2 linked regions of the Nothobranchius furzeri genome follow. The protein of the gene in region 2 interacts with the protein of the main gene of each other region in a pairwise test. Links are inferred from orthologs where the notes say so. Each region holds a gene or a part of one and is shown on either strand. Other genes may lie near its edges. The genes, in order: protein mono-ADP-ribosyltransferase PARP11 and gtpbp3.

Region 1 (4,440 bases), on a different chromosome or scaffold from region 2:
TATTTACAGATCCCAAAAAGCTGCCAGATACCAGCATATGACTGCTTCTGATGAGTAAAGACCAACTGAAATCAAATAAGTGTCTAACAGAAGAAAGACCCACTACACTGATGCTCAGGAGATGTATTGCCTCCAATGTCCACAGGCTAAAGTCAAGTCTAAGTGAATTTAGCGGGTGTATGAAACCAAATAACAAAATGACTGGAATGGAATTACAGCCACAGAGGAACCTTTTACTCACACACGGCCCTGATGACAACGCTGCAGGGCCAACACCAATTTAAACTAAAACAAAGCTGCCTACCGACAGAAGAACTCCCATAAATCCAAGTTTTGAATCCTCTGGATGGACTTTAATGGATGATCCATTGTCCTCTCGTACAGTCTGGCTACCTCCTTAAACTCATAAGTGTCTCTGCTGAGCTGGATGAGCTGTAAAAACAAAATCACATGAAAGGAAAAGATTTCTAAATGCAAAAGTAAAATTCTACACATTACAAAATCCTTTTTTTTTAGCTTGTGATGATGTTTTATTGTTATTTCCTCAAAAACTCCCCCAAAGTGGTTTTTGGCTTTACACATGGCTTCAGCTGCTTCTACCTTTAAGCCCTGCAAATCTTTGCTAAGTTATTGAATTCAGCTAGACGGGATTGCTGCTGAATTATCACTACTCGCTCCTCTCTATCCAGGTAGTCTCTCGAGTCCGGATTGCTCCTCCCTTGGACTGTAAACACTAACGCCCAGTCTCTACGTGTAGCTAGTCAGTTTAAGTTCCACAGTTATGAAGAAGTGATTTTCTTTCTTATTTAGTCTGCACTTTAAATAATGCCTAGAACCCAAACATGGACTTTTGCCTGCGAGAGATACAGGATCCCTGTCCAGTCTTCCTGAAGAGTTAAATCAGCAGAAAGGGTTGGATGTATTCTTTAGGAACTTCAAAAACTGAGCCAGATTGTCTTACTGTGATTCTGCAGCAAGCGTCAGTCTCCGGTCTCTGGGTTTGCTGCTGTGTACTGGGGGGGGGGGGGGGGGGGGGGGGTCATCTGAAATATTTGATCACATACAGTACTATGCCTGCTGTTGCTCTGGAAGGTGTAAAATAGCATAGCACGGGTCTTTAAACCTATGATGTTTGAATGTTAGCAGCTGAAAACTCATTTGTTCAGGCTGGCTTTGGTGACCTTCATCTCTACTCTATCCTTATTCTGTTTCCCAGGAGCCACCGGCACTTATTTCTTATTTATTTATCATATGATTTTTTTAAATTGTTTTTATTTTTTTTTTATTTTAGTTCTTGTGAAGCACCTCGTGACTTTTATCTTGAAAGGCACTATATAAAATATTGTTTTCTTTCTTTTTGAAGATGATACAAAATCATTTTGTTCATGAGTAGATCTAGGTTACCTTTGGCTTTGATTGACGATTGATGACCACATTTAAAAGTGAGATTTCTGGGAGCTGTGGAGTAACATGAACTGATAATGCTTTAAAATTTGTAGAATATTTGTTAATCTAAAATACAGAAGAAAGCCTTAATTTTCATCACATCCTTGCTATTCTCTGGCATGAAATTTGTTATGTATCTTTGCCAAATAACTTAACAGCATGTTTTGTTTCAAGCCCTCCATTCTCACATTATTACTTACCTGATAGGTTTCATCTGTATTGATTCTCTCCCAGTGACAGGGAACAGGCAAGGCCAAATTATCACAAATAAACCTGGAAGAGCAAAGTTGGTGAGTACTAGCTCGCAGAAGAAACAGGTATCTGATTCTTAAACAGAAGCCAACATGTCTTTCAGTGCTGACAATTAAGTCCAGAGCAGAGGTTTCCCGATGCACCAAAAGTATTCCTAATGTCTTATTTCAATTTGAACAGCAAAATCTCACCTGAAACCAGTTGCAGAGTGCAGGGAGCGTTTGATTGGTCGCTGTTTGCCCGTTGTTACATTTATCTGTCGCATAACTGGAGAGGAAGTTTTCAAGCATTAGAACAGGCGCTCAAAAACAAAACGCAGAGCAAACGTAAAAAAAAAAAATCCAATCAGAACTGAGTTTTTGTGTTGATTTTGAGATGCTTCAGTATTTCTACTTAACCTTTCTTAACACTGCAGTTTAAAAATGAAATGGACAAACCTAATGTTGTTTATCAAACATTATAGTTTACCTGAGAAGTCCAATCTGTAGGTGTACTTGGCTGTGTAGAACTCCATGACCCCACGCTGGTTCCTGTTGTAGCACTGCTCAATCTGGGCGCTTGTTACTGAGCAGGCTGCACTGGGATCAATCTGATGGACATCAAGAAAACAAGCGAGGAGCTGAACAATTCTGATTGACAAAACTGTAAAAAAATACTTTGAATTGAAGTGAAGTGGGTAAACAAATAAACAATAACATAATTTATCTGTATTGGACACAATGTCTGAGCGTACAACTTTAAAATACTTTTATAAAGTCTAAAGAAAAGTTACTCAATACAACTTAAAAAGATCAAAAGGAAGTTTGGCTCATTTCAAGCAAAAAATAATGCCTTCTAGGCTTTTGGGTGCATTTAATATGGTACACCCTGACAGTTTTCAAGCAAAATAATTGGGCGGTGTACTTAAACATTTTCTAATAACACCATTTAGAGTTGTAGTATGATGCAAAATACCTCAAACATATGCCACACCCCGCACTCAGCCAAGTAGAACCAGCACCAGTTTGGTTCAGAGATGTCCATCTCCTCCAGCTCCGTGGACTCCTCCTCTGATGACCTGATGGCTAACATTGCCAAAACTGATATAAACACAGACAAAGCAAACAAACTCACTGAAGGGCAAACATGGGACGCAATTAGGGGATCTTATATGCTGATTTCAGACAAACCTAACGTTGACGAGTCATGTTTACAACATAGTTTAGGGTGCATTTCATCTTGTGAATAAAGAAAACAAAAGAATCATCTCTTATCCAGCTAGCTCTCATTAGCTGTTGCTGCAGCCGTTTCCTCTTAGCTCCGCGGGTGTTTCCGGCTTTACGCCTGATTCTAACCGGGTCTTCTTTGTTGAAATAAACAGACCTAAAAACCGATCATAAAACACCGACAACATCAAAGAAAGAGACTGAATCTGGCTCACTAACTATTATTTTTTTTCTTTCCCAATGCGTTGTTTACTTTTGTTTCCTGGTTTGTGCTTACGTCATTCGACAAACGACAGTGCGTAACTCAAAGAAGGACCGCCTACTTAGTTTTGTGGAGCACAAGAACCCGGGCTTTGTCCTGACAGGCACATAATCCGCTTCAGAAATATGTTTTAGAAGTACAAGAAATTCTTGACTGTTCAGAATTCACAGACTTTTCATGCTGAGTAGCTTCATTAGTAGTTTAAATTAAAAGCAACTTTGTAAAAAAATCACAACATTTCACACATTGGACAAACATGTTGGAGAAGCACATTTTTTAACTACATTTTTTTGATTATGCTATTTTTTTGTTGTTGATAGTTGACTATACTAGACATTTTCTATTTAGCATGGGACAGCCCCAGTATGTGCTGCAAGACACTCCCCTATTTTAGAGTGAAGACTTCTCTTGAAACTTCTGCCAGGCATTTAAAGAATTGCATTGACGGGATCACACAAAGCACACGGGTAAGTAACAAACTCGTGGGAAGATTTACTTTTGCAGACTCTGCACACAAAATGTACATATGTCTATTTAAAGTTTATGTGAGGAGCCTGAAAACTGTCAGGCTTGTTTTATTGCTTAGTGATGATGAGCATGAACATCCTGTAATGTAAAAGCTTTTAACCCATGTCTGCATATGAGAATCATGAAGTGTTATAAAATGCACCAGATGTTACATTTCGAGCGTCTTTATTAGCCTGATTATGACTGAGGAAACCACTGTTGGTGAGCCTGGCCAGGATAAACAGGATCCAGAAGAGGGGGCTCAGCCAAGGGAAAAATGGGCCAACAACATGGAGTTTATTCTCTCCATGGCAGGAGAAATTATTGGCCTTGGAAATGTTTGGCGTTTCCCCTATCTGTGCTACAAGAATGGAGGAGGTAAGATGCTGCATCTGTGGGAGATTTCAATCAATGAAAATTGAAAATTATTAGATTTTCTCATGAATTATTTCGTATTTAGGGGTCTTCCTTATCCCCTACTGCGTGTTCCTCTTCTTCTGTGGCATCCCTGTGTTTTTCCTTGAGACCGCACTGGGCCAATACACCAGTGAGGGTGGGGTGACTGCCTGGAGGAAGATTTGCCCCATGTTTGAGGGTAAAAAACAAGGCTCAGCTAGAGAAGCAAACCCTCCACAATAGCTGCTTTGTACACCCACTGTCAGGCTTGTTTTGATTTTATCAATAGAGAATGATGCAATGAAATACACACTTGAGCTGGAATGGAAATGTCATAAATAGCCATTTAACATGATTTATTTTCTTCATATA
Region 2 (4,506 bases):
TTTATGATTTTGATAGAAGGTATTATAATAATTTTAGTTTTAGGGTTTAATGGTAGAACCACAGAAAGCCTGAGTCAAGACTGAGAAAGTTTCAGAAAAATCATTTAAATCCAAACAGATCAACAGGTTTTAGTGTAGTGAATAAAAAAAACAAGTATACAAGTTCCTGCAATACAAATCAGTTTAATCGATCATATCATAAATCTGGAGCTTTATTTTAGCATCTGAAACCATGATGAATCCAAACAGTTGGAAGAAAGCTGAAAAATTCCAGCAGAGTATAAATTACAACTATTTCTAGACTTACTCGCTTCAACTTGTGGCTCCAGTCCCGGTAGATGTGTCCCAGTTCTCCTGACATCTGTCGAAGAGCTTGTCTCCGCTGGGCCTCGGTCTCTGCATGAATCAGATCCCCGAGTCCCTCCACCTTCATCAGGATTTACACAGGATCATTTTGATTTAGTCAATTTAAGTTCATTCTTAAATCCTTGGTAATGCAAATGAATATCCAACCAACAGCAATAAAGACATAACTTCCTCTCATACGTGATCAGGTTTGTTAGAGGATATCATGTTAGGAGATTTATGAAGCTTTGCATTCAGCTTATACCTCCTCTGTTTCCTGCTGCTGTTTTAAAAAAAGAATCAGAATTGGCCTAAATTGGTATCAACAGGTCAGCATTTGGCCCCCAGGACAAAAAATTGTTTATCTCTAATGAAAATGTGTTTTTTTTTTACCTTAAAAACACTAAAGCCTTTGGCTCTCAAGTTTCAAAAACATTTTAATCTATGCACACTCACCCGATTCACTGCACTCAAGAACAATGACCTAACATCAGAGCCTCACTGAAGCTCCTACAGGATTATGTCAAGAGGAACCATTTAGGTTTATTTAATAGTTTTTTCCAGGTGTCCTGTAGACTCACATAAAAACGCACAAAGCAGATTTATTTTATTGTACAGACTCTTCTAACTCACCTCTGTTAAATCAAGCTTCCCTGCTTGAAAAGCCCTTCGCGTGAACTCCCCAGCTTCAGCAGGCCTCGTGCCAGGCACGCTTCCTGCAAAACACACACATACAAACAAAAACATGAAGAAACGGAGGTGGTGCACGTGTGCATTACGCAAACAAAGAGAGCAGGATCAGATGTGGGGTCAGAGAGGTACTTAAGGTTCACCAGGACTCACAACAGACTCATCTGCAGGTCATCAACGGTCATGTGTGCATTGTTCTTACAACCATTCTTTAGATCTCATTAGCGGACAATAAAGAACACATGTTCATTTGGGAAATGGGGGTTCTAAATAATAAATGAACATTTCAGTGGTAATAATAGTTCACACATTCTGCATAAATCCATTTGGGACTGACTGTATGGATTATTTTGTATAGAACTCTGATGAATGGTAAAATCTCACAGGACAACAAACTGGTAGATTCTTTATTTTGTATTATGCACCACTGCCCCCTACTGGGCGGATAACAGAGCAGAAGTGAATTAATTCCTGTCCATCACAAAAGGGACTGACATGCTTGTCAAAGCAAATATTTTAAGCATCTTAGAAATAGAAGTGCATGTGGCAGTTTTCTCTTTTAAGTCACATGACAGACAGTCACATGACTCTACCAGATGGAGCACTTAGAATTACTTTGAAGGCTTATGGCTTGGGGAATTTAAGCCGCAAATATGCATTTTGATGGACTCAAAATGATGACAGGTTTTATTAGTATTTAATTTTTTTTTTACCTAGAGCTTGTAGGACAGCAGTAATGACAGCAGGACCACCATGGATGTGGAACTCCACGCTGTCTTCTCCTGTGAAGCTGTGAGGAGCTGATGACATAAGCAGAAGAATACGATAAGTTCTTTTGATTTTTAAGTTAGCCTGTGTCTAAGACTTTGATCCAGATAAAGCAAGGCTTGGACTTGTGACAGGAAGAAACTCAAGCCTCAATAAACGCTCTTAAGCTGGCAAAAAAAAAAGGGAACACCAAATAAAGTTTGAATTATGTTCTGAATTATGTGGCTCACCTGGAAACCAGAGGACAAGCCCACGGTCCAGCATTTCTCCGGAGAGGGGATCTGTGATGCTGCGCAACAGAGCAGTTCGTGGAGGAGGCAGGCGGTGCCCAGCCATACTCCTTAAAGCTGTCGCTGAGGCAGGGCCACTGACACGTACCACAGCTACGCCACACCTGCCATAACCTGATGACAGGGCAAAGATGGTGTCAGCGTCTGCCAGCCCACCCTGAACTCCACCGTACGTGGACAGGAGACGATGGAGAGAGGTGCGTCTACTGGATTTAAGGAGGACATAAATTATTAATTAGATATATTAGGCCACATCAGCAGTGAACGTCAACAATAAAAAAGACCTTCAGAGAACCTGAAAGCTACTGATTACTATGCCTCTAAAGGTTTACAAAAAACTATGCTCCTTGGAAAAAGTCAGTGTATAAACACCTTAAATATGTAGAATGATTTAACCTTACACTGGTTTCTAACAGATTAACAATAAAAAAAAAAATCCAAAAGGAATGTTGTGTTTTTGTTTTACATGTTTTAACAGAAGCTCTTCGTTTTCCAAAGGGCCTTAAGTCACATTTTATACAGATCAGACGCCTTAATCACGACATAAACAACATTTTATAACCAGAATGACTTTAAAAATGTTCGTAAAAGTTAAAAGTTTTAAACCAACTTTGTCCAAAGTCCGCGAATCACAGCTCTGCACACTCCACGATGGATGGACGATGGTCGAAACATAATTATGGAATAAATATAAACTATTAAATTATCACCTTTTTATCATTCAGACTTACAATTAGTCCTCATTATAATCTGTATTTATGGCTTTTTCGCCGTTCAGATAGTTTCTACTAAACGGACCAGGAAACCTAACCTTGCTATTACTGACACGAAGGTCAAATATTTAAATTATATCGGTTAAACTTTCATTAAAAATAAAAAATCGACCCGACTCGTCTCCTCTATTTGATATGTCGTCCATGCTGTTTTCATGTGTGAAAAATCTGAGCTCCTATTCGCTGAGAACCTGTCGATCAACAGGAAGTTCCGCCTACTGTGCATCAAATCATTCAGTCCGTAGCGTTATGCCAACGATAATTAGTTCCGTTATCCTTCTCAACACTGGGATGCGAAAGTTTGGGCAGCCTTGTTAATCTTCAAGATTTTCCTGTATAAATAGTTGGTTGTTACGATAAAACATTTGTAGTTAAATGTATCATAAAGGAGACACACACGTTAATATTTGAGAAGTCAAACAAAGTTGATAGGATTCACAGAACGATGCATTAATTAAAATTAGACAAGTGCATTAATTTGGGCACCACAAACAATAAATTAACTTAACATTTAGTAGATCCTCTTTTTGTAGAAATAACTGCCTCTAAAAGCTTCCTATAGCTTTCAATGAGAGTCTGGATTCTGGTTAACGGTATTTTGGCCCATTCTTCTTTACAAAACATCTCTAATTCATTCAGGTCTGATGGCTTCTGAGCATGGATAGTTCTCTTAAAGTCACACCACAGATGTTCAACAATATTCAGGTCTGGGGACTGAGATGGCCGTTCCAGTATGTTGTACTTACTCCTCTACATGAATGCCTTAGTAGATGCTGAGCAGTGTTTAGGGACGTTGTCTTGTTGACAGATCCAGCCCCGGTGCAGTTTCAGCTTTGTCACTGATCCCTGAACATTGGTCTCGAGAATCTGCTGATATTGAGTGGAATCCATGCGTCCCTCAACTTTAACAAGATTCCCAGTCCCTGCACTGGCCACACAGCCCACAGCATGATGGAACCACCACCATGTTTTACTGTAGGTAACGGGTGTTTTTCTTGGACTGCTGTGTTCTTTTTCCTCCATGCATAACACCCCTTGTTATGCCCAAATAACTCAGTTTTTGTTTCATCAGTCCACAGCACCTTATTCCAAAATGAAGCTGGCTTGTCCAAATGTGCTTCAGCGTACCTCAAGCAGCTTTGTTTGTGCTGTGGGTGGAGAAAAGGCTTCGTCTGCATCGTCTCTCACATACAGCATCTCCTTGTGTAAAGTAGTTTTGTTGATGGTTGAATGATGCACTCCATCATCATCTTACAGTAACTCCATCTGCAGCAAGATGATGTTGATAATTAAGATGACCACAAACACAATTTGCTTTCCTTTAACCCTCTGGAGGCAGGTGTTACAGATTTGCAACGTTAAAACCTTCCTACCAGGTTACTCCACGCACGTATTTCATGAGCATTTTTTAACTCAGAAGTACCCCTGAAGGACTTAGTTTTTCGTCCTTTTATCAAAACTTATTTTGAGCCTGAGAGGGTTAATCCCACTGTCAGAACATTCCATTCCATTCCATTTATTTGATAAAGCACATTTAAAAACAGCATGTGAGCTGACCAAAGTGCTGTACAGGGGTAAGAACATATAAGGTTAAACGAATAATTTAAAAGAATAAAACAACTAGAGCATAGCACAAAGAA

Evidence for each region.
Region 1: the proteins of gtpbp3 (region 2) and protein mono-ADP-ribosyltransferase PARP11 interact in binary tests that used the Homo sapiens proteins (3 or more experiments, as listed by UniProt). The two-hybrid records come from large-scale screens. The link is inferred for Nothobranchius furzeri from reciprocal best matches to the Homo sapiens genes GTPBP3 and PARP11.

What each region holds. Positions count from the first base shown.
Region 1 is NC_091741.1:45,966,428-45,970,867, forward strand, and holds the start of protein mono-ADP-ribosyltransferase PARP11, read right to left. Parts: upstream 3,049-4,440; 5' UTR 2,911-3,048; coding exon 2,868-2,910; intron 2,778-2,867; coding exon 2,653-2,777; intron 2,288-2,652; coding exon 2,167-2,287; intron 1,966-2,166; coding exon 1,890-1,965; intron 1,720-1,889; coding exon 1,647-1,719; intron 433-1,646; coding exon 305-432; intron 1-304. Other genes in the region: sodium- and chloride-dependent GABA transporter 2, read left to right, coding at 3,873-4,050, 4,133-4,267. UniProt on the Homo sapiens protein: Mono-ADP-ribosyltransferase that mediates mono-ADP-ribosylation of target proteins. Plays a role in nuclear envelope stability and nuclear remodeling during spermiogenesis. Inhibits the type I interferon activated signaling pathway.
Region 2 is NC_091748.1:66,786,878-66,791,383, reverse strand, and holds the start of gtpbp3 (tRNA modification GTPase GTPBP3, mitochondrial), read right to left. Parts: upstream 3,022-4,506; 5' UTR 2,769-3,021; coding exon 2,704-2,768; intron 2,300-2,703; coding exon 2,034-2,299; intron 1,836-2,033; coding exon 1,749-1,835; intron 1,062-1,748; coding exon 979-1,061; intron 428-978; coding exon 308-427; intron 1-307. UniProt on the Homo sapiens protein: GTPase component of the GTPBP3-MTO1 complex that catalyzes the 5-taurinomethyluridine (taum(5)U) modification at the 34th wobble position (U34) of mitochondrial tRNAs (mt-tRNAs), which plays a role in mt-tRNA decoding and mitochondrial translation.